Tamandua tetradactyla: one gene and its partners. The protein of the gene in region 2 purifies or fractionates together with the protein of the main gene of each other region. This does not show direct contact. Links are inferred from orthologs where the notes say so. Each region holds a gene or a part of one and is shown on either strand. Other genes may lie near its edges. The genes, in order: METTL9, SLC30A4, STX8 and PDS5B.

The links.
Region 1: the proteins of SLC30A4 (region 2) and METTL9 purify together in Homo sapiens (co-immunoprecipitation; 3 studies listed by BioGRID and IntAct, with this or other methods). This does not show direct contact. The link is inferred for Tamandua tetradactyla from reciprocal best matches to the Homo sapiens genes SLC30A4 and METTL9.
Region 3: the proteins of SLC30A4 (region 2) and STX8 purify together in Homo sapiens (co-immunoprecipitation; 3 studies listed by BioGRID and IntAct, with this or other methods). This does not show direct contact. The link is inferred for Tamandua tetradactyla from reciprocal best matches to the Homo sapiens genes SLC30A4 and STX8.
Region 4: the proteins of SLC30A4 (region 2) and PDS5B purify together in Homo sapiens (affinity purification with mass spectrometry; 3 studies listed by BioGRID and IntAct, counting the BioPlex papers as one, with this or other methods). This does not show direct contact. The link is inferred for Tamandua tetradactyla from reciprocal best matches to the Homo sapiens genes SLC30A4 and PDS5B.

Annotation. Positions count from the first base shown.
Region 1 is NC_135349.1:34,751,670-34,758,610, reverse strand, and holds the start of METTL9 (protein-L-histidine N-pros-methyltransferase), read left to right. Parts: upstream 1-3,926; 5' UTR 3,927-4,164; coding exon 4,165-4,329; intron 4,330-6,941. UniProt on the Homo sapiens protein: Protein-histidine N-methyltransferase that specifically catalyzes 1-methylhistidine (pros-methylhistidine) methylation of target proteins.
Region 2 is NC_135340.1:59,805,604-59,812,617, forward strand, and holds the start of SLC30A4 (putative proton-coupled zinc antiporter SLC30A4), read right to left. Parts: upstream 3,023-7,014; 5' UTR 2,855-3,022; intron 2,679-2,854; 5' UTR 2,565-2,678; coding exon 2,174-2,564; intron 1-2,173. UniProt on the Homo sapiens protein: Probable proton-coupled zinc ion antiporter mediating zinc import from cytoplasm potentially into the endocytic compartment. Controls zinc deposition in milk.
Region 3 is NC_135332.1:63,395,199-63,402,539, reverse strand, and holds the start of STX8 (syntaxin-8), read left to right. Parts: upstream 1-4,324; 5' UTR 4,325-4,432; coding exon 4,433-4,449; intron 4,450-7,341. Other genes in the region: CFAP52 (cilia- and flagella-associated protein 52), read right to left, coding at 3,778-3,862. UniProt on the Homo sapiens protein: Vesicle trafficking protein that functions in the early secretory pathway, possibly by mediating retrograde transport from cis-Golgi membranes to the ER.
Region 4 is NC_135330.1:197,481,763-197,489,540, reverse strand, and holds the start of PDS5B (sister chromatid cohesion protein PDS5 homolog B), read right to left. Parts: upstream 3,016-7,778; 5' UTR 1,517-3,015; coding exon 1,455-1,516; intron 1-1,454. UniProt on the Homo sapiens protein: Regulator of sister chromatid cohesion in mitosis which may stabilize cohesin complex association with chromatin. May couple sister chromatid cohesion during mitosis to DNA replication.

The DNA of each region.
Region 1 (6,941 bases), on a different chromosome or scaffold from region 2:
ACTTGTCCAGAGAGAACAAAGTTCTGACCCACTTCATGGTTCAGTACTAACAATGGCTGGTTAGGGAGCTGATGATATTGGGCACTGTGCTGACAGCTGTGCTAACATGATCTCATTTATTCTTCTCCAAAGTCCCATAAGAGCCTGTGAAGTGCACAGAGATTCTTTGCATCCTACATCAAAGCCGAGAAGCACCCCGTTTCTGTTGTCACAAGTATTGGGTGCACCTATAGTCCAGGAAGAACTTGGGCAACTCGGAAGCTCTCAAGCTCAATAAGGAAATGTCAAAATGAGGACCACAATGCCACACTTCCTCAGGGCAGCTTTCCCTGAACACTACCCCCATTCCACCCTCAAGTAAGGCATTCCTGTTATAAGTTCTTCTAACACATAGACTCTTTCTAGCACTCAGAAGTTTTAAGTATATATTCATTGTATAATTACTTGTTTGGTCTGTCTCCCTACTAGACAGTAAGCTCTATGAGGATTTTATTTTGTTTTCCTTTATGCCTAGTTTAGTGCCTGATGTAAGTAAATACCCAGAAAGTATTTATTGAATAAATGAAGATGGTCTGAGGAGAAGCTATCAGTTGTAAGAGAATGTTTTAGGGAGAGTAGCTTTGCAGAATTCACAGTCATATCAGAACTGAATATTCCTATTATGATAATCTTGGTTGAATGTTTTACAGTTTATGAAGCTTTAAGATCATCTGATTCTCACAGATTGTGAAGTAGGCATCATGGCCCACAGATTACAGATGATGAAAGGGAAGCTCTGAAGAGGTTGGTTTATCCAAGAGAAAATGAAAAGAACAGAAATTTAGCATTTTCTATGCACTCACAATGTGTTGAGGTGCTACACTACGCCCTTTAAATTTAGAATATATAATTTCATCCTCACAATATCCCTAGAGATAGGTAACTATTATTATTATCCCCATGCTACAGATGAGAAAACAGACGCCTGGAGAGGTCCAGTAAAGTGATTTAGATTATTGAATAACCAAGAAGCACAGGACCAGGTTTCAAAAACCAGGTAGCTTGTCTCAACAATGCAGATGATAAACCCCTATGCTAATATGTAGCATTGAGAGGACGCTAACGTAGTTGCTGTGCTATTTGTACTTGGTACTGCAGGGCTTCTGATTCCTGGTTTAATTCTTCTACTTCATGCATGTTTGAAGTTTCACCTGGACTTAGAATTTATCATTCGGAGACCACTGTGATGTGACTTGTATATGACTGCAATCATATGAACTAAATTCAGGTCAAACCCTGTACACTCATTCATTTTACTTTTGAGAGGTTTCTTGTTGCACACATCTATTGAATATGTTGGGAAAACTTGGTCTAATGTTCTACAAAACATTATTATGCAACATAAAAAAATTTAAGCCCTTGAAAACGTAATGATAAAAAGTTCTTTTTTGACTATATCTCCTCAAAGAGAAAACAATGGCCAATACTGTAGGCACTGTACAGATCCAAGCCTCTAATCATTTAGGATCTCTGAATATTACACTGTGAAATTGAAGAGAGAACATGAAAATGCTTTATCATTTAAAAGAATAAGCAAATAAAAGCCCTTTCTTCGACTTCTGGATAGGAACTCAATCCACTCAAAATTTCAGGTCTGCAGAGGTCTGTGACAGGTTTCCACAAGTGAGATATGGCACTAGGCATGGGCTCCTGGTTAGGAAAACTGAGGAGAGCTAGGCACAAAGGGTGCCAGCTATGCATCTTTTGATTATCACTGACAGCATTTCAGAGCCAAGTTAGAAAGGGTAATGGCTCGAATTATTCAGCTTTTTGTGTTATCTGCGCCTCTTCCCCTTTGCATTATGGATAACTGAGGTTTTAATCTACAGGAGTGACATTCTAGTAGATAAAGGAAGGGGGCAGTCCCCAAGAGCAATCTGAACTTCTGCTTAGTATATTTACTCTTGCTGTTTTCCTTCCTCCTCATTTGTAATTGAGGAGACTTTCTGACAAGAGAGTGGCATCGGGGCTTCTTAGATGGATCAAAGGACCGTGAGCTGGGATACCAGGTTCTATGAAAAGGTCTGCTATTGAATTTGCTCTGCTACCTTTAGGCAAATCATTTGATCACGCTGCGCTTTGGTTTCTTCCTGTGCTTGCTAAGTGTAAATAACATGTATTTGATTATTTTGTGGTTACTATAGAGTATTTTAAATGTGTGGGTAATTTATTCTTCCAGGCCAGCTGCTCAGGTATAAAGTAAAAATCTGCCCCTTCGAGATGCTAGACTTCTTAGGAGTTAGCTGACCCCAAATCCTTCAGGCTACAACAGCATTTAGTTGTTTCACCCTTTCAGTTTCCAAGTTGCCTGCTCAGCAAGCTTACTTTATAAGGGGTGGGAGAAAGGGACATATCTTTTTGCCTCCTTTGTCTTCAGAACGGAAATATGCCGTTTGTCTGCTGCTTCCACCCTCCTCCTCCCACTTTGAAAAGATGAAGGCTTTCTTTTGGCACACAGCTCCTGTATCTGTAACACTGATCCCAAGACAAGAGGGAGAGGTGACACAGTAAACAAACTGAGTTATTTGAACTCGCTACTTTAGTTTCTTTTTGATGATTTGGGCCACTATCATTGGAGGTTTGAAGTAGATTTAATAAGATGTAGTAGGCTCTTTGAGGTTTTGGCAGGAAGCAGACAGGGAGTATAATGGAAAGAGAGAACACAAAGTACTCCCTGCCCCCTTCCCCCCATCCCCCTTTACATTAGGCAACAAGATGTCCCTGTTAGTGAAAGGTGTCAAGCTGAGATTCTCAGAAGCTAATAAAAATATCTGTGGGTTAGGAACGAGGCTGCTGCTTATCAGATCACCACACCACTGTTTCATAAATGAAAAGCTCTGAAATGCAAATTTGTCATTAACCTAAAGATTGTTCTTTTGTTTTCGACTGAAATGTATTTACATTATTTCTGGTGTAGTTAAATTAAAAGCGTTTTTAAACAGACAAACCTAGAAAGGTGTTATTAAAGCTAGAGGATCCATGAAATACGTTACTCCTCGGCTGTAGCTTGGGTAGCGGCAGGAAGAATTTTAGACATAGGAACACTGTGTAACCCTTCAGTTTTCAGACGTTGCTAGGACTCCTAGTGCTACACAGGCGTAAACATCCGGGTAAGCACCGCTCCCAGAGCTTACTTAGCCTGAATGTTTGGTCCAACTTCCGTCTGTGAGTTCAAGAAAACGAGCAGCCAGCGACTCTAATTTGGGGTCTCCATCCTTAGGCAGGGCCATCAACACATCAAAACATTACCTGCCCAACTGCAGTAGCTTTCAACAAAAGCAGAGCCTTTGGCCCGCAATGTGCCAGGCTTGGGGGCACGGGGCCGGTGGTGGTATCCTTTATCCCTAGATTCCTATAATGTCCTGCAGTTCATGTGAAGCAGGACGGAGGCCCTTGGCACTGGGGGTTTGACTCGACGCCTCTAAACATAAACTGGAGGTATGCAGCCATGCCTGAACAGTTAAGAACTGGCAGCGTTTGTCTCTGGGAAGGACTTGGTTCTTGAGTGTTAAGACGTAAGAGGGGCTGACCCGCTCTCACCCCTCCACCCCCGGCCAATCTGCCCAACAAGGTGGGCGCACCGCCCGGGTGTGGGATGAGGCGCCCAAATGCAACAATTACGGCGATGAAAGACCAGCAGTCCTGCGGGAACCACCTTGGAGGAGCGGAGGGGCTTCAGTTACCGCCTTTGGAAACGACCCCTCCTCCCCTAGAAAAATTAAAATCATCTCCGCCATTACGTGGAGCCGTGGCAGAGACAGGAAGCGTGGACGCGCACCGGGCGAATGAGCGCTCCTTTTGTCCCGCCTCCCGGCCCGCCCGCTCATTGGACAGAGGGAGAGCGCCCCGGGGAGCACGCGCTCCAGCCGCTCGTACGTGCTCCGGCTGGAAACTGGCGCCGCCCGCGGCTGCGTTCCGGGGACGGAAGGGAAAGGGGCGGTGGGAAGGCTGCGTGTGAGTCGGCCGCTCCTCCCCATCCCCCGCCTCGGCCCCGAAGGGGCTGGATGGGCAAGTTGGGCGCGATGGCTCGAGCGCCGGCGGCGGCGGCGGCGGCCGGAGGCGGCGGCGCCTCCTCCTCCTCGCCCCGGCGCGGGCGGTGATCTGAGCGAGCGGCCGCGGCCCCCGATGAGACTGTTAGCGGGCTGGCTGTGCCTGAGCCTGGCGTCCGTGTGGCTGGCGCGGAGGATGTGGACGCTGCGGAGCCCGCTCACCCGCTCCCTGTACGTGAACATGACGAGCGGCCCGGGCGGGCCAACGGCAGCCGCGGGCGGCAGGAAGGAGAACCACCAGGTACACTGCCGGACCCCGGGCCGGGGCGGGGGCGTGGCGGCCGGGCCTTCCCGCGCTGAGTCCGGCTATTGTGCCGGGTGGCTCGGCACCGCGAGAGGGAGGCCGGGCCCTCGCTCCACGGTGCCGGCGCTTCGGAAAGTTTTCCCCCCCGACTCCCCGGCCGGGCGCCGGTCCTCCACCCCCGGGCGCCAGGGCCCGGCCGGGTAGCGTCTTTTGTTCCACGTCGCGGGCAGAGCACGGCCTCCTTTTTCTCCTTCCCGGGCCCGAGCGTGGGCGCCCAGGAGCCCCGCATTGTCCCCCGGTCCCCGGAACTGATTGCAGAAGCCCGGCCACCTCGGCGGCTGCTCCCGGCGGCAGGATGGGAGGAACTTTGGGGCCGGTGCGTGGCGGGGGGCACCCGCCTAATACCGGGGCCTGAGATCCAAAAGAGCCTCTCAGACCGGTCAGCCCGGACAGCCTTCATAACCTCTGGGAAACATAACGAAAAGCCGGTGCATCTTTCTGTCTAGTTGAATCTCTGAGCATACAAAGGGTCATAAAGAAATTTAACCATGCATCGTGAGCCATTTCACTCTCCGGGCTTATGCAGGTGACATCTTCCCTAAGCATTAAAAAAATATGTTTGAAAGGTCCTGACTCCCATCCTACGGAACCTTCCTTTCTCATCCTTCCCAGGGGAGATTTCCTTTAAACTTCTATTTAAGTATCTGACCGGAAAGATGTTTATGAGGAGGAAGATGATGCAAGCTATTACAGGAAGGGCTTTTAAAAACAGAACTGGGCTGGAGTTGAATTCCTTTAAGAGTTGTACTTGGGGATCGTGAGTGATGCGATGTGACCCGATTACCGTCTTATCATTAGCCCAGTTTTGTGTCACTTAAAGAAGTACGGGCAGTTCAGCTGTAGAATTAAGAGTGAGCTGTTTCATATTTGACCACACTTGCGGTTAACATTACGTTCAATTAGAAGAGGCTTTTGAACTCTGCTAGGGTGCTGGCTCATAATAGCTAGCATTTATGATACAGAGAGTAGTGGCTAATTATTCTCCATGTCGTCTTGTGTATCATTTTCACATTTCTTATTTTTCTGTGTTATTTTTCTTAGAATGCCAGATATTCAGATAGTTTACACTGAGGTTGATTTCGTGTGACTTAATGACAGTAAAGAATTATCTAAGAAGTGGATAAAGCAGTTTATTCAGAAAAGAGACATTTTAGTTTTGACTTAGTGAATATGTAGGTCCCCTTTTCCTTTATTGAAAGGAATCCTAAATTTATGTTTATAGAAAATACGTATATTTTTTGTAATCTCTCAGGTATTGTAGTTTGTTAGGCAGTCATTCCTGTGATAGTGTAAGAAGTGGTAAAACCACGTTCATTGCTATGGAATAATTATTTTAGTTAATTAAGAAACAACTCTAAAGTCCTGTACTGATAACTGCTACTAAAATGACGTATTCATATAGAGTATGGATAATGGCATAGAATGATTAATTAGAAATGTCATTTTTAACAAAGATTTGATAGAAAAACGGTCTGGATAAGGAAAAAAAGGCTTATTTCCATTGATGTAGAATTATGATTGGGTGTTTTATTTGAACACTTATTATCACCTGTTCTGCAGCAAACTTGATAAGTTTTCATTGCTCATAAAAGAGTAGATTTATTTTAAAATTTGAAAAACTGTTTAAGCAATTTGACTTTTATGGAGCCTAGTAGAATTATAACTGGTTGTCATAGCCTCAGAATGTCTCCTAACAGGATGCCTTCTAATTGTGTACGTTTTAAAAACTGTCTGTCACACTTAGGAAAACTTCATCTGAGATTATATTCGTGTGTGTGTGTGTGTGTAAACACGTATGTGTTTTAACCATTTGCACTGACAGTTTCACAGATTTCTCCATGGTGAAGTCTAATCTGGTGCTTTCTGAGTATTTAGGGGGGATTGACTATTTTACTTAGAATAATGAATCCAGACTTTGTTTCGAGATGAATACGTTCACATTGTGAAAATTTCTTTTATGAGTAAAGATTAAAATAAAAAGTATATAGAAAACACAGTAAGATAAAGTGAGGTAAGAGACTATTCTACGCAACTTGGCTAAATGTATTATATTCCAGGATCCTAAATTTACCTTTTAATTTCTTGCTTATAAAGTAACTTTACTCTTAATGTTTTTTTAAAAATTTTTTAGAATTAATAGTTTTATGTAAAGTCTTCTGGTGTTCATCTGGTGGTGTTGATTCCATAGCCAACCACATCTGGTTCTTTTGGAATTGCTTGAAAGGGTTGTGGATTTGATTGAGCTGTACTTAGCACAAGTTTTCCTTCTGGTTATTTTATTAAGGGATTATGGTAGAGTGTTCCATGGTTAAAAGAGAAATCTTGTGCAATGTTTATTCATTAAAAATTGCTACTTAGTATAGCTTGGAGATGGAAGGGCCCCTACTGGTAGGCAGCTCCTCATGCTAGAGGGAAAAACATGAGTGAGAAAACTGGTTTCTCTTACTTTGGGCAAGTGAAAAGCAGGGGCGTCTTTTAGAGCAGGAAAATGGCCTGCGGGCCAGTTTGGACTCATTGACTTTTTTTAGGCTTGCTGACTTTTTGTACTG
Region 2 (7,014 bases):
TCACAAAACAATTTTTACCAAATAAGAAATTTCAAAAATGCTAACTCAGGAAAATTATATCTTAATGATTTTTGCATATGTGAAAAAACTCTAATTTTAAAGGGAAAAAAATTTGTGAAATTTTAAATTTAAAAGGGAAAAAAATTTTCTAACTTCAAATATTAAATATTTAACTTCAAAAATCACTAAGTCTGAATGACTCCATATTCTAGCTGTGTGAATTTTGTTAAGTCACTGTGCCTTATCTGACCATAACTTCACTCCTGACTTTTAATTTCTTTACAGCTTAAACATTCATAATTCTCTAACAAAATAATTCAACCAAAAAATATTTTTGAGTGTCTACCCTGTGCCAGTGACTATCCTAGATGCTCAGGATTCAGCTTATATTTGAGTAGGGGAAGAAATATGAAACAAGTAAATAAACAAACAAGATAATTTCAGATGTTGAGTGGTTTCAAAGTTGGGGAGGCAGCAGGGGAGAAGGAAGGTTTTCTTTAGACAGACAGAAAAGGTGTCTTGGAAGTGGTTTTTGAGATAAGACACAACAACAAGAAACCATTCAAGAGAATACCTGAAAGGGCCGTCCATGTAAAGCAGTGTTTTTCAAATTTCAGGCCCTCACCTATTAGTGAACCATGAACCAATTTAATGGGCTTGGACCACTGTTGAAAAAATATTAGGATACAGCACAAGATAAAATTTTGTTTCAGTTATACATATACGTGTGTGTGCACATATATGTGTATATATATGTACATGTATGTTTGTATGTCTATGTGGGTCACAATGTTTAGTTTATTTCTTACTATGACGAGGTCAAATAAAGTTTGAAAGCCATGGAAATAAAAGAACCAGCCAGTTTGAAGACTTTAGAGTCAGAAAGAGCTTTGGAATCCCAGGAAGAGAAAGAAGGGAACATGGGGGAAAAGTGGTATGACAGGAGGTAGAAAGCGCATACAAATTTCCTTCACTTAACCTCCAAGCATCCTAAATCTGAACTGCCACCTCTGCTCCTGTCAGTGTTTATCATTAAGAGATGTGAATCATCTCCCTGCTTTAATGTCACTCTGTAAACTGTCATTAAGAGGAGCAAGCTTGGCTGCAGTGGTTCAGTGGTAGAATGCTTGCCTTCCATGCAGGAAACTCGGGTTCGATTCCTGGACTATGCACCCCCCCCTCAAAAAAAAGAGGAGTTAGCTTGCTTTTTTGTATAAGTGTTGTTTTTCACAAAAAAGAAGAAAAAGTAGATTGTGATGATAAAATGCACAGCTATATGATGATATTGTGAAACACTGGTTGTACACTTTGGATGACTACATGGTATGTGAATATATAATATATAACAATAAAAAATAAATAGATAAGAGGAACTAGCAGTTACCCTAAAGTGCCTGTAAAAATAATTTTTAAATAAGAATATATTTTACAGTAATAATGTATTACTTGCATAATTAAAACATGAAAAATAAAACCAAGTTCAGAAAATCCTGGATGAACCCTCTGGTTCTTTTTAGGTACCCCTTTTCATTTTATAATGTTATTATTTGGCATTATTTTTAGCATTAATTTTGCAAATCTCTTGCAAACAAATACAAAAGAAAATACAATAAAGAAACCATTTAAATTGAAATATAGGGAAATAATCAAGAGACTGGATTGTAGCTGTGGCTCCTCCATTAGCCATCTAATTGGCCTCACAGCATGTTGACCCTCTCTGGGCCCTCAGATTCTTCTTGTGTAAAATAAGCAGGTTGGAGCAGGTGTTCAGTAAGTCCCTTCAGACTGTAAAATTCTATGATTTTAAATAACTTTAGAATCAGGTACTATTTTAAATGCTGCAAAAATTAACCTGGTGTTTTCTCAGACTATAAAGAGAGAGAAAAAGAGGAAGTTCTATGATACACAATGAAGATAATGTCCATAACTTGACCGTAGATGGCACAGTGTTTGGAGAGCTAGGTGAAAGCAAAACTTATCTCTGGAAGTTTATGTTGTGCTCAGGTTGATCTGCACTTTGGAACCATGTGGCCTTTTCACATCATGAGATTACAGTATCTTAGATAACAAAATTTCCTGAAAACGAAGTTTAAACTTCATATCATGCCTATCTAAAGCCTGACCAAGACTCTCCAGGCAAGGTAAATGGAAAGTGAGTTGAAACACAACTCACCTACAAGTTCTCCAATCATGAAAAGCAAGTAAAGAACGGCAGCAATGGTCAATCTGGTTTTCACCTTTCTCTGCTTCAGTAATTCTCTCTGTTTGCTGCAGTTGTCACAAGGGTCCACCTTCAAACTCAGCTGGCTGTTGGTCAAAGGTAAGTCCTGGTCCAGCAAGGAATCGTCGTCGGCCTGGAGGGCCGGGTGCGCCCCATTAATAGGCCTTCCTGGGGTTTCCGAACCATCATCCGCCACCACAACTCGAAGTTTGTTAAACCTAGAAAGCCCCTCGTGCCCAACCTCATCCGAGAAGTCAAAGGCGCTGGTGTCATTTAAAAACAGCGGCGCATCATCCTTCTTCAGCAGAGATCTGAAGCGCTTCCACGCGCCGGATCCGGCCATGGTAGAGGCCGAGCGGCGGCGGCGCGGAACGCCTCAGGGCAGGCGGACGGTCGGCGGCGCCTACTTCACCGGAGCGCCCGTTCCCGATGGCAATGCCACGCGTCCCTCCCCATCCTGCGGAAAACGAAACGCGTTAAAAATTAAAGACTCCCAACATTCCCCGCAAGTTCCAGTGCCCCGCGCGGCGGAGGCGCAGGGCCAGCCTGGAGGCGACGCGTCCGCTGGGTCGCCGCCGCTGCGGGCGTCCGTAGACGCCGGCCCGAGATCCGCGAGGGGGACGGCGCATCTACCTGGGGCGCTGCCTCGGGGCCACGGCTCATCTCTCCGCCCCGGCTTGGCCCGACTGGCACGAACTACTCCGCCCAGGACAGCAGGGGCACGGAGCCGTCCTCGCGCCTGTAGCACCCGCCCGCCGCTCTCCGGGTCTGACAGGTCCCGGGCGGCCACCGCCTCTCTCCGCCCTGCGCGAGACGGCGCGCGTGCGCTGGAGCGGCAACGGGTTGGGCGCAGGAGGGAGGGGTGGGAGGGTGGACATGCAGGCCCGCGGCACAGGCCTATGAGCGTCCGCGAGGGGCGGAGCAGAGGCGCGCGCCGTGTCTCCCCGCCCCTCGCCCGGGTCCAAGCTCCTGGGCCCGGCACGCGAGTCTGCGGCCCCGGGAGACTAAACCGCGTGCTCTGTCGCTGCCTCTTACCCTACCCGAGGCGAGACCCTTTCTCCCGCGTGGCCCTTCCAACCTTCTCAGACTGGGAGGGATGTGCGGACCGAGCCGGGATCTGCGGGCCAAACGGGTGGGCTCGAACGGTCCCGCCGGGGTTGGGTGTCGTTGCCCGGCATTCCAGATACCTGCCCTATGGTTTTGGTTGCAGGCACTAGGCAAAAAACAACCAGCGCCTTCTCACTAAGTGAGAAGCTGAGTAGTAGCTTCCTCTTTGGCCGGTTGGCAAAATTTGCTGCCCAGTCAGGCTGTCTTGGAAAGGGCACGGCTTATTTATGGTTGTCAGCAGTTTTGTGTCCTGCTTTAGGTTTACTGTTGTTATTCAGCAAATATATGTGCCTTCCGTGTGTTCACAGCTGTGTTCATTTTGCCCCTTAACTCCCCTCCTAGTGAGTGTGGGCTGTGCTTATTGAATATTACATAGCCTCTAAGGAATAGAATATGGTAGGCATGATGGTGTGTGATTTATAAGACGAGGTCATGAGGTGTTCCAGCTTCCTCCTGTTCTCACTTAGATCACTTGCACAGAGAGAATCCAGCTGCCATGTTGTGAGGACACTCAAGCAGCACCATGGGAATGGCCCACGTGGTGAGGAACTGAGGCCTCCTGCCAACAGCCATGTGAGCAACTCATATAGAAAGCACATCCTCCAGGCCCAGTCAATCCTGAGCCAGTGCTGACTGCAACCTTGGAAAGATCCTGAGTCAGGACCACCAAGCTAATCTACTCCCAGATGAGACTGTGTGAGGTTATAAATGTCTATTGTTTTAAGCTGATAAATTTGGGGATACTTTGTTATAATGTAATAGATAGCAAATGTACTCTATGTCAGATTTCCTCTGTACTAGGAAAGACACTTTTTGTACTCTCTCATCACATGGCATTTTGTTGCCGGCCTTCCTTCGGGCTAGTGTCATAATTTCTATCATTGAACTTTGCAATAGGCTAAATAAATAGACTTTTGTGAATAGGCTGGGAATGTAACCACCATTTGTAGTCTTATTTCTAGGTATTCAGAATTTATAACAATAGGCAAATATACTTTTGAAACGTGACCCATTTATAATCTAAGTACTGCTTGCAGTTCTGCTAGCTATTGCTCAGTCTGCCATTGTTTTATAAAAAAAAACTCCATACTTCTTTTTAGTCTGAAGAACTCTTTTGCATGGTCAAAGGGAAAATTTCCCATTTCTCAACCAGGCAACCCATAAAACACAGATTGTCAGGTAATAGCAGAGGTCTGTCAGTTCAGTTGCAAGACATATACCTTGGAACAGTTAACTAGGATAGACACAAAATATCCTATGTCTAAACCTGCTTTCTGGCCCAGATATCTTTTTGAATAAAAGGCAAATGCTATAAATAACACCACAGTTAACATTTATTTAACTTCGGTAATGCACCAACCACCATGTAGGGGGCCTGACTTACATTAGCTCATTTAATCCTTACAGTATCACTATGAAGAAGATAGAGATAAAAAGCATGGGCCTTGGAGTCACCGACATGGGTTCAAGTCCTGGATTCACCATTTACTAGTCATATGATCTCTGGCAAATTATTTAAACTCCCTGTGTTTTAATTTTCTTATCTCTGAAGTGAGGATGCTTTATAAGGCTGTGGTAAGGATTTAATGAGATAATGCATGCAAAATGTGTAAAAGCATAGACAGTTCTAGTCACATAGTCCATCAATGCGAGTTATTATTTTTAAAGTAGATGAAGAGGTGGAGGCTCAGGGAGGTTTAGGAACTTGTCCACGGTCATGAAGCCGGCACATAACAGAACAGGAGCTCAATTATCTGTTTGGTTTCAGAGCTCAATCTTAACCATTCATCTACACTGCCTCTCTCAGTTTTTCTGCACATGAATAGAACAGTCTGCAGAAAAGCACCTAGACTCCTTGAGGCATGCTCTGAGAGACCCCTGTTTCATACCTCAAAGTGTGCCAGTGACTTGAGACCTCAGCGCCAGCCTGTGAAACCCCCTTTGTGGAAGGGAAATGAGAGAGGAAAAATAGTGAGAAAGTATTTTAATTTAAACAAAAATGGGAAAAATGCCGCTTAGTTGAAAGGTTCGGATGCTGCACATTTCCCATCCCGAGAACTTTTTCCATTGGAGTCTGTGACTATAGATGGTTCCCATAGAATGTTTTTAGAATGCATCCCTTTATTTTTTTAAGAGTGGATGGAAATAGTTATTGAATGGGTATGAACAAGGGTTAGCGATGTGACATGACATGGCGGAACATGACGTGATGTACAGCGATGGTGAGTGTACTAGCCTCTTCCTCCTCTAGATTGCTCTGGATCGCTCTATTAATGGAAGTGCTGGGATTGCAGTCTAAGCTTTCTCCCGGGGAGGGGAGAGGAGAAGGACCCAAAACCAGTAAAAGAGAGAATTGCCTAAGGACAGGAAAGGTGGCATTTTGGATAAGGTGGAAATAAAGGAGAAGATCCCTGGTCAGGGAATCTATTAACCTTCCAGGCACACCAACCTGTACTCAATCAAATGAATCGTTTTTAATTAATCCTTTGCTTTTGTTTTCCCTTAGTTTTAAAAGTAACACTCCTAATGACTTTCTCCAACCGTGTCTGGCTGAAATTAGAAGGAATAAGAGGCCCAGTTGGGACAGTGGGTTTGGAGGTGGTGGCTGGGCTGGGAGCTTATAGGTGAGGGTGACAGGCAGACTGGAAACTGTTTTGGTTTGCTTAAGCTGCCTCAATGCAACATACCAGAAATAGATTGACTTTTACAAAGGGAATTTATTAAGTTACAACTTTCAGTTCTAAGGCCATAAAAATGTCCAAATTGAGGCATCAGCAAGAGGATACCTTCACTCAAGAAAGGCCAGTCACATCCGGGGTTTCTCTGTCAGCTGGGAAGGCAGGAGGTTGGCATCTCTTGGTCTTTGCTCCCAGGTTACCTTGCTTTCAGCTTCTAATTCCAGTGGTTTTCTGTGTCAGTTCTCCAGACATCTCTAAATATCTGTGTTTAGGTGTCTACTCTCTCTATCGGCTCTTTTAAGGACTCCAGTAAACTAATTAAGATCCACCTTGAATGAGAGGGGCCACATCTCCATGGAAACAACCTAATCAGAAGGTTGCATCCACAATAAGTCTGCACCCACAAGATCAGATTAAAAGAACATGGCTTTTCTGGGGTACGTAAGTTTCAAACCAGCACAGAAGCTAAGATCCCTTTCTGCCTCAGAGCCCCTTGTAAGAACTTGGAGAACATGGATCAATGTCTAATTTTGCCAGCTATTTGCTGTGACCCTTACTGTAAGCAGTGCAGTATTGCTGAGCCCATTCTCTTAGTCTCTAAAAAATGAAAGAATATTTGCCATTCCTATTTCATAGGGACATTGTAAACATGAAATGAGGTTTTGTATGTGAAAGAATTTCCTCACCTAATTTACTAGATACAGTTTTTACGTACTGTAGTATTTGAATCATCCTACAAATCAGGGTGTGAGCAAATGCTGGTGGCCAAGAATTATCCACTTATATCTTCTTTTCTTAGGACTGCTAATCCCCAGTCCTTGGTTTATTAATGATACATTCTGACTCATTTAGAATTCTTAATTCCCCACCCTACCATTATAGTTGCTTCTTTTCTCTCCCATGTGGTTTTATATTCCTAGCACCTAACACCATATGCACAGAGAAGCCCTGCAGATACTCATGGATTTAATACAGGAAAATACTATAATCAGAGAGAGTTCATCCAAA
Region 3 (7,341 bases), on a different chromosome or scaffold from region 2:
TCATAAATTCTTTCAGTGACTGTCTGAAAATATTCTAAACTTCCCCCTTATTTTTGGAGGACAGTTTGCTGGGTATAGAACTCTTGGTTGGCAGTTTTTCTCTTTCAGATTCTTAAATATATCATTACATGGTTTCTGCTGAGAAATCCATACAAAGTCTTATCGAGCTTCCTTTGTATGTGATGGATTGCTTTTCTCTTGCCGCATTCAAAATTCTGTCTTTGTCTTTGACATCTGACAATCTGATTACTAAGTGTCTTGGAGCAGGTCTATTTGGATCCATTGTGGTTGGGGTATGCTGTACTTCTTGGATCTGTAATTTTATGTCTTTTATAAAAGATGGGAAATTTTCAGTGATTATTTCCTCCATTAGTCTTTCTGCTCCTTTTCCCTTTTCTTCTCCTTCTGGAACATCCATGACACATATATTAATGTGTTTCATGTTGTCATTCAATTCCCTGAGGCCCTGCTCCTATTTTTCCATTCTTTTCCTTCTCTTTTCTTTTGCGTATATGATTTCAGATGTCCTGTCCTCTAGTTCCCTTATCTTTTCTTCTGCCTTTTCAAATCTACCATTGCAGGTTTCCATTGTTTTTTCTTTATCTCTTCAATTGTGCTTTTCATTCCCATAAATTTTGTGATTTGTTTTTTCAAACTTTTGAATTCTCTTTTTGTTTGCCTAATGTCTTCTTTATATCCTCTCTCAATTCATTGATTTGATTTTTGATGAGATTTTGCACGTCTGTTCAAACATCTTGAATTAGTTGTTTCAACTCCTGCACCTCATTTGAAATGTTGGTCTGCTCCTTTGACTGGGGCATATCTTTGATTTTCCTAGTATGACTCATTATTTTTTGCTGGTATCTAGACATTTGATTTCCTTAATTAGGTTATTCTGGAGGTTGTTTTCACGCTTTTACCTAGGGCTTTCTGGATGGCTTTGTTCTCTATCTGTTCTTTGGTATCCAGTTCAACTTATTTTAGACCTGATTTGCTTAAATTGATTCCTGGAAAAATATGATACCTCAGGGTGCAAGGGTGGTTCAGTGGTAGAATGCTCACCTTCCATGCAGGAAACCTGGGTTGGATTCCCAGACCATGCATCCCCCCCCACCAAAAAAAGTCTCTGTCTATATAAAATAAGTCAAGCACAGTTATATACTTATTACCTCCAGAATTAAAATTCATAAAATAGAATAAGACAGTATAATGGGTGCTAGTGTTACAATGATAAAAAGATTTTGACTTTTGAATTTGCTTCTCATTTGTTTCTATGTGAACTATGAACTTAATAACCTGCTATTTAAAGCCTTCAAAATCAACCCCAGGCACCCTTTCCAGGGTTATCTTGCCAGTCTGATACTGAAGTCACACTGAGCTATTTGCCATTCCCCAACCAGGCTCCACTCTAAGGAAAAAAGTTAAAAGATTTAGCTATGCAGACGTTGTTTGTAGTACTTTTAAATAAATGAAAAAATGTGAATTATTCTAAATTATTAATAAAAAGGTATTTTAAAGTCTATTACATATCTATGCAATGGAATAATACATTAAAGTATTAAAATTATGATGTGGAGCATATTATTAAAGAAAGATCTGCATGGCATACTGTTATGTGGAAAAAAAATCTGGTTATAAGAGCATATATATATATATATATGGCATGAGCTCTCTTTTACTAAAAAACACATTCATACATAGATATATAAAAGACCGTGCCAAAAGATTAAGAGTGATATCTTTGGAAAGTGTAATGATGGTTGACTTTTCTGTTGTTGTTTCACTCTTTTACCTATTTTCTAAACTCATCTTTTTAAGTGTGGCCATGCATTTATGCCTGTATTCTCAGTAAACAACTTAGTATTTGGCATATAGCTTTTCTAAATAAATATATATTCAACTACATGAAAGAATGTCAATTGCACAAAAACAACAAAGTAAAACACAGTTTGGTTGACTTGGGCCTTTCTAAAAGGCAAAACTATTTAATAATTGCTATGGAAAACATGGTGTTCTAGTTTGCTAGCTGCCGGAATGCAATATACCAGAAACAGAATGGCTTTTAAAAAGGGAAATTTAATGAGTTGCTAGTTTACAGTTCTAAGGCTGAGAAAATGTCCCAATTACAACAAGTCTATAGATATGTCCAATCAAAGGCATCCAGGGAAAAATACCTTGGTTCAAGAAGGCCGATGAAGTTCAGGGTTTCTCTCTCAAATGAGAAGGCACATGGCAAACACAGTCAGGGTTCCTCTCTCAGCTGGAAGGGCGCATGGCAAACACGGTGTCCATCTGCTACTTTCTCTCCTGGCTTCCGGTTTCATGAAGCTTCCCGGGAGGTGTTTTCCTTCTTCATCTCTAAAGGTTGCTGGCTCGTGGACTCTCTGCTTTGTGGTGCTGCAGATTCCCTGCTCTCTCCGAATCTCTTCTATTCTCCAAAATGTTTCCTCTTTTACAGCATTCCAGTATACTAATCAAGACCCACCCAAATGGGTGGAGACCTGTCATCACCTAATCCAGTTTAACAACCTCTCTTGATTAAATCACATCTCCAAGGAGATGATCTGATTACAGTTTCAAACATACAGTATTGAATAGTGGTTATTCTACCTTTATGAAATGGGATTTTGATTAAAACATGGCTTTTCTAGGGGGCATACATCCTTTCAGACCAGCACACATGGGATACAAATTACCATATAGTTACTCTTAGAGCTCTAGGAAAGGGTATGAAATCAGTTCAGAGCTGTAAGTATGAGGCTGTACACTGCCTCACCACTTCCTTAATGCTCACTGCAGGCCACTCACTACCATCACCAGTGGACTTTTAACCAGCTCTCAAGAGGGCTGATAATGAGATGTATTAAGTGCCCGCTTTCCACAGAGACTTTCCAAGTAAAACGAAGGTGAGAGACAAGAGCCAGGTCCTAGAATCTGCTTAAATCTTCAGCCATTGACTGTTCTGCCTCCTCAATTATTACAATTCGAAAGCTTTCAGGCCTTGCTTTCTCTAAAGTTTAATCCACTGCTTTTTGCACATCTACAAAACAAAACAAAAACAAACAGCATCTCCCCCTTAATGTTCAAAACAGGAGGCAGTCACAAATAAGATTTGAACTGAGCGGCAACCCCTCTTCCAAGCTGAACAGTCGTCCCCTCCAACTTTCCATGGCATCCCTTTCTATGATGGTCTGAAATCTTCATCATTAGAATCCTTCTTTCCAGTTAGAAGACCAAAATCACCCCCTAAAGCGATTGCTCAAACACACATTCCCTCCCCGGCGTATCTCATTAGTACATCAGCTGGGATTTTGGAAGATTTGCTAGTTGGTTCCAAGGGCCAACATAGAGAGCCTCTGGTGGGTTAGGAGGGGCCTGGGGCTTTGCCGGCTTCCTGGGGCTTCCTAGGGCTTCGGGGCAGGAAGGGCTGAGCCAGTGGAAGGAGGGTCATAACACAGGCATCATCCCATTCGTTTTTTGCTCCCACCCTCCTACTCAACTTTCAGTCCACGCGAGGCATTTAGTCCCTTTTGGGTGCCAGGAGCATGCAAACACCATGCCACTTTCTGAAGCTCAGAGCGAGGAAGTTACTGCCCAAGGCTCTCGGGCGGGAGAAGACAGGCTGGACCCGGGCTCTTTTCAATGCCCCTCACTGTCTTTTCGGTGTTCCCAACCCCCGCCCCTGCCCCAGCCCGCCCCGGTGTCTCACTGTCCCTGTTTGCCCTACACGTCGCCGGGGTACCTAAACCACCCAGCCCAACATGCCCGAAGCCTCACCATTGAAACCGATCACTGCCTCAAGCTCCAGCTCGGCCACCTCGGCCTCGGGAGAAGTTTGGCCGTCCATCACCCGTTTATCCATCACCGACTCACGGGCCTCTGTCTCCCAGCGGGCGCAGAGTCTTCTGGTCGTTATGGTAACGGGCGTGCGCACGCGCACCAGATTCACGCCCGCGCCTGTGGCGCTCAGATGCCCTCTTCTTGCAAGCCGAGGTTTCCTTTTTTCTCTTACGCCGGACATTTAGGAAGAATTAAATACACAGCTAGCTGCATAGCCAAGCATCTACTGGGGCTCGACAGACAGGTTGCTGTAAAATAATACATACTTAATACTTCTTTGGGTGCCCTGTCTGAAACAGGGTAACATTTTAAGTAATATAGGAGGCGCTTCACCTTCGGTTCAATTTCAATTTTATTTTAATCGCGCCTAGCAGTTTGCGTCTCAGTCGGCGCGGATTCCTGCAACCTTCTGTTCCCCAGAAGAGCGCTTTCCTTTTTTCATCTCGGTTTTAGGCCTTAACTTTTCAAAATTCACTTAGCAAATTCCCGGCTCCGGGCTCAAACGGCCGAACGGCGAGCAGTGAGCCTCGCGGGCCGCCGTAGGCAGCTGCCGCAAGCAGGAAGTGTTGGTAGAGCCGGCGGAGACTGCACCATGGCCCCGGACTCCTGGTGAGCCCCGGGTGAGGGCGGCCGCGCGCAGACCCTGGTTCTTAAGAACCCTGGTTCTTAAGGGGACGCCAGGGTTCCGGGGAGCGGGCGACCGTTCTGCGCGGGGGGTGGAACTCCTCGGGGTGAGGAGAGGGGCCGCAAGGACCCTTCCTCTGTTGAGAGGGACTCAGTCGTATCTCGCCACCCTGGGTCCTCGCGGAGGTGGCCCGGGAAGGAGACCTGGTGAGCCCTCGGGAAACTGAGGATTTAAGCTTAATCTGAATATTTTGAAGTCTGTTTGGGCTGCTTCTCGCCGCGGGGATTTCCCGCCTATCTAGATTTGCAGCTGACTGATGGAGGCTTCTCTTGGACTCTTGAAAAAGTGAAGTAGAAGTAACCTCTTTGTCGAATGTCAGTGCCAATGACAGACTTCCCCGTCTCCCTTTTGCTTCACAGATTGGAGGAAGCGAGGTTCAAAATCCGAGGTCCCCAGCCACCTAGTAACCAGTTGTAGCTAAAACCTAGATCTTGTGTGCCCTTTAGAAAGTGTGTAGTAATTTGGGAGAGAAATTATGCACTTGATCATAAGGCATTTTCCCCTTCTCTAAGTAATACCATGAATTCTTTTCTTTCAGCAATAACTTCTGCATAAGGCAATAACTGGTAAAGACCATTCCTTCACAATGAGTAACCATTAAATCCCAAGGACGGAATGATGATAAACACAAGCTCTGATCACAAGGAACTTTTTTGCTGTAGCATATTGGATTTGAACTTTTTGGAGTATATGCCTTATGCTGGTCTTTTCAATATAGTTTATAATTCTTTAAGTTTCGGGCAGTCTGGATGTTAGAATGGATACCAAGATGAAAGTTAGAGTTGCCCAGGACCTAGATCATCTAGATCAATCTCTTTATTGATTTAATACTAATATTTTCCCACCTCATTTTAACAGCTGTATATTCCCCCTGTAGAAATTTAGAAGATACTGAAAGTTTGCAGAGAAGAAAATAGCGTCTTTAAGTCTACCATTTGGAAATAGCCACTGGTGATTTTTAAAATGAACCTATTACTTTAACGTGGATATTTTGTGTGCATTTTACAAAATAGGAAGCATTTTTCCACGTCATTAAATATTTTCTGAAAACATGATTTTTATGATGTTTTAATAGTGCAGCAAATGAGAAACCGTAATTTAACTTTTCACCTCTTTGCTAGATTAGATAATTTCCCCCCCACTATTGAAAAAGCTGTGTGCCTTTGTAGCATCTATTTCCTTTGGCTCACTTGGGAGAAGTGGAAGTATTGGTTCCAGAGGTATGAACATTGTTATGGCCCTTGACACATGTTGGTAAATTGCCCTCCACCTCCTGGAAGCTAACCCCCTCAGTTTGCACGTAAGGTTGGAAATAAAGCCCAGAAACAATAGAGGGGCCCAAAGTTACCCTATTCAGTTGAGTGGAAATGCCAGCTGGACTCCAAAACTTTTTAATTTTGAAAAAGCTTATAATTTTTTTGTGTTCTGTCAACTAGTTTGACTTAGTGATTTTTTTATTTGGTTGCTGGGAGTGAGGGAATGGCTGATGGGCTGACATTAGCTACCCCTCCAAAGTGGGTTAGATGTGTATTTTAAAGTGAATTGCAAGTTGCTGCTTAGGGGGTACAAAGGAGTACAGAAAGGAAATTTGAAAAACCTATAAAACCAGATTTGACTATAGTTTTGCCTACATACTGTTGGAAATCACAGATCACTGAGGTCCCATTCCTCAAAAGTGTTCTAATATTTAGAAATGAAAACTATTACTGTTTTGATGGCATAATAAAAGCCAGTGATAAGCTCACTGTTCAAGAGAAGTAGCAAGTGATTACTGTACTGGCCCTGAATTGATTCTTTGCTAAAGTTAGTTAGTTTTACCTCTAACTTGTTGATGATATATTATTTCTGGAAAATTTTCAGTAAATGCTCAATAGTTTAAATGTTGGATGGACTTTTTTTTGGTAACTTTTGTTAGTACAAAGTAAACATTTCAAAGTAAAGGCATTAGTGAACACTGGATGTCAGTAGCATGTTCTCTCTTATTTTTGCCTACTTTTTTCTTTTCCTTTTAAAGTAATTTCAAATGTACAGGAAAGTTGCAAAAATAATACAAAAAGCAATGCAGAGAACTCCTATTTACCTCCTATCCAAATACCCATATTTAACAACTTCTAACATTTTGCCGCATTTATTATATCTCCCTCTCTCTCTTCTTCCCTCCCTCCATCGCTCCTTCCTTCTCTTTCCATCTTTCTATCTAACTATAATTATCATCTGTCCATTTTCTAAACATTTTAGACTGTTATATGTATCATGTTCCTTGAACAGTGAATACTTTTGTGTATATTTCCTAAGAACAAAGATACTTATATAACCATATTTAGAACAGTTATCAGGATGAAGAAATTTAACATTGGTATGAAGCATGCAGTCTTTTCAGTTGTCCCAATAATGCACTTTTGGACGTCTTCTCTTCCATTATTAGACCTAGTTTAGAATCACGTATTGCATTTAATTGTTTTTGTCTGCATCTCTCTTTTTAAAATTATGGTAATATATATACAGCATTAATTTTCCTATCTCAGCCACCCCCAAGCCTATAATTCATTGGCATTAATTGCATTCACAGTACTCTGCTACCATCACCAGCATCCATTACCCAAACTTCCCTGTCACACCAAAAATGAAACCCGGAATATATTATGCATTAACTCCCCATTCTCCCTCCCTGTTCCAGGTAAGCTGTGCTCTTCTTTCTGTCTCTTTGAATTTGCATAGTCGAGTTGTTTCATGTAAATGGAATTGTATAATGTTTGTCTTTTTGCATCTGGCTTATTTCATTGAACATGTCTTCAAGGTTCATCCGTGTGGTAGGG
Region 4 (7,778 bases), on a different chromosome or scaffold from region 2:
ATGCTAATAAAATACCACTACAGTAAATCTGCACTGGTATCTGTATCCAGTATCTTAATCAAGTTCTTTCAGTTTTAAACCTTGGCCAATTCAGGGTTTCTCTTTCAAGATGTGAGTCCTTGAAGGTATTTACTTCTAAAAGGAAAAATTTTAGCAAAATTCAAAACTTAATCCAATGATGGCCTTGTTCAATTTTTTTGTCAAACACAATACCTTGCAGTATTTCATCTGCCCTTGTGGTTTTACCAGATAGGTTAAGATAAAAGGAAAAGCAATTCTTGACACTATTAAACCTTGTGCTTGTATTAAAGAAAGGCAGTTTTTTTGCAGCAGGATTTTCAGTTCTTTTCTGAACATCTTCCTACACTGTTAAAGTGTTATATTATCTTTGTAAGAAAGAATGCCCTTAAATACTGAGAAAATATTAATGTGCTAGAAAAAAATACCTATTACCAACAAAACTCCTGCATCCACTCACAACATTCCCTTACTCACCAATCGTATGAGCTAATTTATCTTACACTAACATGACTCGGCAGATGTGTATGTGCATACCCATGCGCACACATTAAAAGAAAGTCATGATAAAAGAAATTGGGCAGCAGCAGATGAGTAAAACATATCGATTAAAAATAAGTAAATAATAAGGGAATAAATTTTAAAATAAATTTAGTAGATTGAAATGCTAGTGATCAATGAAAGGGAGGGGTAAGGGGTATGGTATGTATGAATTTTTTTCTGTTTTCCTTTTTCTTTTTCTGAATTGATGCAAATGTTCTGAGAAAAATGATCATGATGATGAATATACAACTATGTGATGCTGTTGTGAGTTACTGATTATATATCACGAATGGAATGATCATATGGTAAGAATGTTTGTGTTTGCATATTGGTATGTTTAATAAAAAACAATTAAAAAAAAAAGAAGAAGAAGAAATTGGGACCAGTTAATATGAGGTCTTATGTTCCTGATAAGGAGTTTGATCTTTATCACACAAAGCAGTTATCATTTGCTTTTGTTTGATTTCTAAGAAATATGAAGAGAGATCAGATTTGTATTTCAGAAAGGGAATTTCCAAAGACACAGACACACCAACTGAAACACAGAGGGCGGGCCACAATGGCTCAGCAGGCAAGAATGCTCACCTGCATGCCAGAGGACCCAGGTTCGATTCCCGGTGCCTGACCATGTAAAAGAAAAAAAACAGAAAAGAAACATAGGGAGCCTGTAGGAATGGATGAGGGCTGGCTGCAAAGGAGTATGGAGAAGCAGTAACTGGAGTCTCTGGATAACAGAAAGAGAGCACAGAACCATTTGAAGAGAAGATGCGATAGAAAACAGGAGAGAAGTGGTTTCATGGGAGAAAGGGTTTTGTTAAAACAGCAGAAAACTTTGCCAGTGAATAAATGTGACAGATAGGGTCATTTACCTCCTTGGGATCCCCACTACCTACCGTCCACTCTTTCCCCATCTGGGGACGATTACAAAGCTGCCGTGTTCAGTAACAAGGTGCATGGTGAATGTGACTCAGGCACTGCCAAGTGAGAGAGATCCACACTTTTCATTCAATGGCAAATACTCTTCACATAAAACTACACTGTATCTCTTCAAGCCTCTGCATTAATCCCAAAGGACCCAATGTACCAGACTGTACACAAAACAAATGAAAGTACTATTATTAATTCTATCTAATTAAAAGTAAGACAGTATCTACTATAATAAACATTTAACTAACAAATTTGCTTTGAAAATTATGTACTCTGCAGATAAAATGTAATGAAAGAATTTCAGGTAGAGGAATCTGAGATGAATCTGGATGTCCAGCGCGCCAAAAGAATTCAACTGATCATTTTTTTCTCAATATATTTCGCTACAATGAGAAAGACATTCCAAAACCCATTAGAGCCTATAAATATTTGAAGATACCCCAGAAAATATTAATGTTGAAGGTACATAAGTGTTTTAATCTAGTCTCATTAAATAATATTATTTTTATTATTAATTAAATTCATAACCAATAATTCTAAGCAAAACAGTTTTTTCCTTAGGGCTAACTTAAAACTACATCATCCTGGCTAGGAAAGTGTGCTACTCATTTCCATGGCAGCATAACAAAGATTCTTCTGTGGTTATGACAGATAATTGACAACATCTGCCTTAAATTCATCCTGGCTAAAATCTGAACTCAGCTCTCTTCTGTGGCAGTATTGTGGCCAAAACATACATGCCTGTTTTTGTTTGCTTTGTGTTTATTTGCTGTTTTTTTGTTTGTTTGTTTGGGCATGGGCAGGCTCCGCGAATTGAACCCGTGTCTCCAACATGGCAGGCAAGAACTCTGCCTGCTGAGCCATTGTTGCACCGTCCTGTGTTTATTTGCTTTTAATAAAGATTTCCCTGTTCTCCTCTAGAAATTTTGTTTCAATAGATTTGGGAAAGGGCTTCAGAGTCTGTTATTTTTAAAAAGTACCTCAGGTAATTCCCATGGCCAAACAAGTTTGGAACAATCCAGTATGCAACTTCAGGAACTCAGAACAGACCGACAACCAAAAAAATAAAAATAAATAATACAGGTTCTACCCTCAGATACACTCTTAAGTTACATCTATCTTAAAGGCCTTAATTTCCACAAGTCTGTTTGCTTTACCACCTTCACATCTGAGCTCTAAAACATGTGGCTCCACCAAAATCAACCAAATACAATCAAACTGACAATACAGGATTGTGTCAACTATTCCTCTTCAATAACAAACATTTACTGAGCATCTATTATAAGCCAAGCACTTTTCTTGTGGGGGTATTTCTTGGATGAATCTGTACCTATTCAGGTGACTACAGTTGCAGCTAAATCCAACTACAATCAGCAGTAAGGGGAGTCTCCTCATCCAATCTGTTGGAGGTCTTAAAAGCCAAAAATGAGTACTTCAGCAGTAAGAAATAAGAATTTCTGTCTCTACTTCAGCCAACTAGCCAGCGAGCAACTCCTGAGGAATTATACTTTACCTTCATTGGAGTTTCCAACTTGTGGCCTCCCATATAGAATTCAGACTTGCCAATTTCCACAGTCGCATGAGCCAACTCTTATAATAAATCTATTAATATTTACATATATAAGTAAATGAAGTGTAGTAAATCCTACAGCTAAATGAAGTGGGGTAAATCTCTTCTTTAAATATTTTTACTGAAATATCTTCATGCACCATACAGTCCATTCCATACACAATCAATGGCTCACAAAATCATCACAGAGCTGTGCATTCATCACTCTAACCATTTTTAGAACATTTGCATCACTCCAGAAAAAGTAATAAAAAAGAAAAAAGGAAAAAACATATATCCTATTCTCCTTATCCCTCCCCCTCACTAACCACTAGTATTGCAATCTACGCAATTTTTTTTACCCCTTATCCCCCACTATTATTTATTTTTGTCTTTTTTTTTACTCATCTATCCATACCCTAAATAAAAGGAACATCAGACACAATTCACAAACACAAAGTCACAGTCACATGGTAAAAGCTATACAGTCATACAATCTTCTTCAAGACTCAAGGGTACTGGAACACAGCTCAACAGTCTCAGGCACTTTCTTCTACCCACCCCAGTATACCATAAACTTAAAAAGGGATAGCTATATAATTCCTAAGAATAACCTAGAGGATAATCTCTTAAACTCTGTTTTAAATCTCTCACCTACTGAGACTTTATTTTGTCTCATTTCTCTCTTACCTCTTTTGGTCAAGAAGTCTTTCTCAATCCCATGATGCCAGGTCCTGGCTCATCCCAGGATTTCTGTCCGACATTGCCAGGGAGATTTATACTCCTGTGAGTCATGTCCCATGGAGTGGGAGAGCAGTGAATTCACTTGCCAAGTTGGCTTAGAGAGAGAGGCCACATCTGAGCAACAAAAGAGGTTCTCTGGGGGTGACTCTAGGCATAAATTACAAGTAGGCTTAGCTTCTCCTTTAGAGAAATAAGTTTTCATAGGGGCGAGTCCCAAACTGAGCCTTGGTTGCCCTGTCTGCTTGCGAGAATATCAGAAATTCCTCAGATGGGGGAGTTTAAATTTTTCTCCTTTCTTCCTAGTCCCCCAAGGGGACTTTGCAAATACTTTTTTATTCACTGCCCAAATTATTCTGGGATGTATAACGGCACCACACTAGCCTGTACAAACCAACAAGATCTCATGTAATCATGGCGTTCGAATAAACTGACCACACAAGTTAAATTAGATGAGTTACTCAAAAAAAAAAAATTTTGCAGCAAACAACTGTCTCTTCCTTCGGTCTCACAAAGAAGTTGAAGTTCTAAAATATAGACCATATCATCCTTTACCCTGTATTCTGATTTACTCTAGTTCTATCCAGATCAGTTTCATTTATAACTCTACTTGAAGTCTGATCACTTTTTCACTTTTTTTAACAATTGCCATATGAGGTAGTGTTGACTTTCATAGCTTCCGAGCTCTGCGTCTCAGGTGTCACACAAATACCCAAAGTTCCAGGGAATGATCAGGTTATATGCAAATAGCTCAGCATCTCAGAATTTAGAAAACAGAGTTATAACTCCTGGATATGTGACTGTTGTAAAAGCTTACAATCTAGGACCCTTTACAATAGCCCCCAAAACTTGACAACCATGCTCTTGACTTCAATTCTCCAACTTTGTATTTTACAGCTAGTCCTTATGAATTAGGCATGATAATATTTGTCTTCTTGTCATTTCATTCTGACATTTCATTCAACATACTGTCCTCAAGGTTCATTTACCTAGCTGCATGCCTCACAACTTCATTCCTTCGGGCAGCCACTCAGTAGTCTATTGTATGTATACATCATAGCTTCCCCTTCCATTCCTCAATCGTCGTACCCTTAGGCCATCTCCATTCACTATGGATCAGGAACACTGCCCAGAAACACCGTGTGCAAATGTCCATGTCCCCACACAGTTCCTCCAGGTATATTCTGAGCAACAGGGTTTCAGGATTATATGGTAACCCTATCCCTAGCCTCCTATGGAACCACCACACTGCCCTCCAAGAAATTGTACCACCCTGCTTCCCAACCAAAAGTGAACAGGTACATCTCTTTCTCCACATTTTCTTCACCACTTGTATCTCTTTCTCTCCATTTTTAAACAGTTTTATTTGCACATCATACAATCCAACCTAGGTGAAAAAATCTATGGTTCCTGGTATAATCACACAGCCATACCTTTGTCACCTCAATCTAAAGGAGGAAACTTCCTTTTCTTTGGCAAAGAAACCCATACCCATTCCCATATCCCCCACTTACTGACATTTAGTTTTGGCATATTACATTCAATGGACACATATTACAATGTTACTGTTAACTATAGACTCTAGCTTGCATTGATTGTATTTTTTTCTGTATACCAAACCTTTTTCAACACTTTGCAATATTGACATTCAATTGTTCTCTTTCATGTAAAAACATTCTTATATCTGTGCATTTAACCACCATCATTGTCTACTCTAGGCATTCCTAAACTATACCATTTCAGTTTTTACCTTTCCTTATGGTGTCATATATACCCTATATCCCCTATAGAATTCAGACTTGCCAATCTCCACAGTTGCATACATTAATTCCTATAATAAATTAATATTTACATATATATATATGGAGTGTGGTTAATTTTACCATGGAATATTATGCAGTTATTACAAAGAACAAGTTGGATCAGTATCAGCTTATATTAAGGTATTGAGGAGTAAGAAAAGCATTCTGCTCAAGTGTGTATGTATGTACATATATGTGAACCTAATCACATTTTTTGTAAAACAAACATCAGTACCACCATGCGCATGAACACGCACACAAAGGCACCACATAGGGACAGGAGTGGGAGATGAGAGAAACGGAAAAATATGTACAAAATTAAATTAATCAAAAACAGAGGAGATAAAATTATTTCTGCTTTATGATAAATTGTAAAAACTGAACATGGTCATAATCTGAGCTCGGGATGGAAGAAAGGCAAATTTACTTATAGATTTATTATTGCAAAGTATTTGTAATAAAGTATTTTTTAAAGCAATCCTTAAAGGAAGAAAACAAATAATCTACAGGCATAATCCTTCAAACTTTTCTCCATAAATCTTATTTTTCAAAACTGAACTTTAAATGTAGACTGGGCAGCAAACACATTCAAGGTTAAACTTGGCAGGAGACAAGAACGCTTTAACACACATAATCACACAATATCTGTATGTCTCCCTCCATTTTTATTCTTTCCACCCCCTGCTCCCGACTCTCATCCCCCAGTGTAAACGCCTAGAAGGCACAAAAGAATTCAATCTGATGAACCGACCCTCATTTACAACACCATCCCACCTTAGATCTCTCCCAGACAGCAATCTGGAAACTCTACAATTCTACTATTTTGTTTTTATCACAGACTTCCAATTATCTACAATTCTTACTCAGCTCTCCAAAGATATTAGTTAAATATGACCTATCCTTTACAGATCTATTAATGCAATTACTCAATTACTGCCAATTACTTATTTGCAAATTAACTTTTGATCTCTTTTTCTACATTTTCCCAGGAAAACAAATTTAGAAATGGAAAGAACTGTAATATAGAAAATGGTTTTGTTACCTTTTACTATAAAAGAAGATATTTATTTTTAACTCCCTGGCAAATAAAAAAATAAAACCTGCTTCCTCTAAAAGGGAACTTGATTATAGTTAAAGAAAATACCAACAGAAAATAAACTTTAAAATACAGACTGAGTTCAAAATGCAAATGAATACGACTGCTCAGTAAAACAGCTTTGTACAAATACCTACAGCCTATTCTACACAGACAGTTCCTTTTTCTCTTCTATAAAATGTGGATAGCCTCTCCCCACATACTCCCAGCATAAACTGTAAACTACCAGCTGGGCAGCGAGGCATCTCAGAACACCATGGACATCAAAGTGAAGTCACAAGGCTTTGTGGGATATTTCAGATTTTCAAGGAAAGTAGAGACTCAAGACCTGTGGGACATCAGGCAAACGAACAGCTAAGGCAGCTGACAGTTACAGCATGAGATCATTTACATTCCTTTTGAGAGTAGCAGTTACTGTGATAAAAAGCAAGTAATGCACAGAAATCAGTGTGGAATAGGGAATGGGTTGGCAGTTTGTCCAGTCTAATTCTAAGATTTGAGAACACGTACACGCCCAGCAGACAGAAGTATGCCATTAGTAAATAGCTATCGCTGTTTAAGAATAAAAAACATACTTTCTTTTCATTACCCTTTTCTTTACTGGTGGGATGGCAAAGAATATAAAACTTGTGAAGATTGAAAACACGCCAAAGATGTGGAATGATGACAGGTGGCTCACCATCACATTTCCTGCTAGAAAAGCAGAAGGTAAAGCCAAAGTTTGAGCATAATAAGGAAGAAAAAAACAGCAAAATATTGCTGTTTTATGTTAGTTTCCTTAAGAAAAGGGGTAGTTAACTAATACAATAATGTTAGTACAATGAATGAAAATGTGAGAATGATAGAGGGAGGAGGGTTGGGTGCACAAATGAAATCAGAAGGAAAGATAGATGATAAAGACTGAGATGGTATAATCCAGGAATGCCTAGAGTGTACAATGATAGTGACTAAATGTACAAATTAAAAAACTGCATGAGGAAGAACAAAGGAATGTCAATATTGCAGCGTGCTGAAAATAGATGGTAAGTTATATTTTAAAACTTTAACTTACATGTAAGACTAAAGCAAAAAATGTTTATTTGGTACAAAATTTATCATTTGA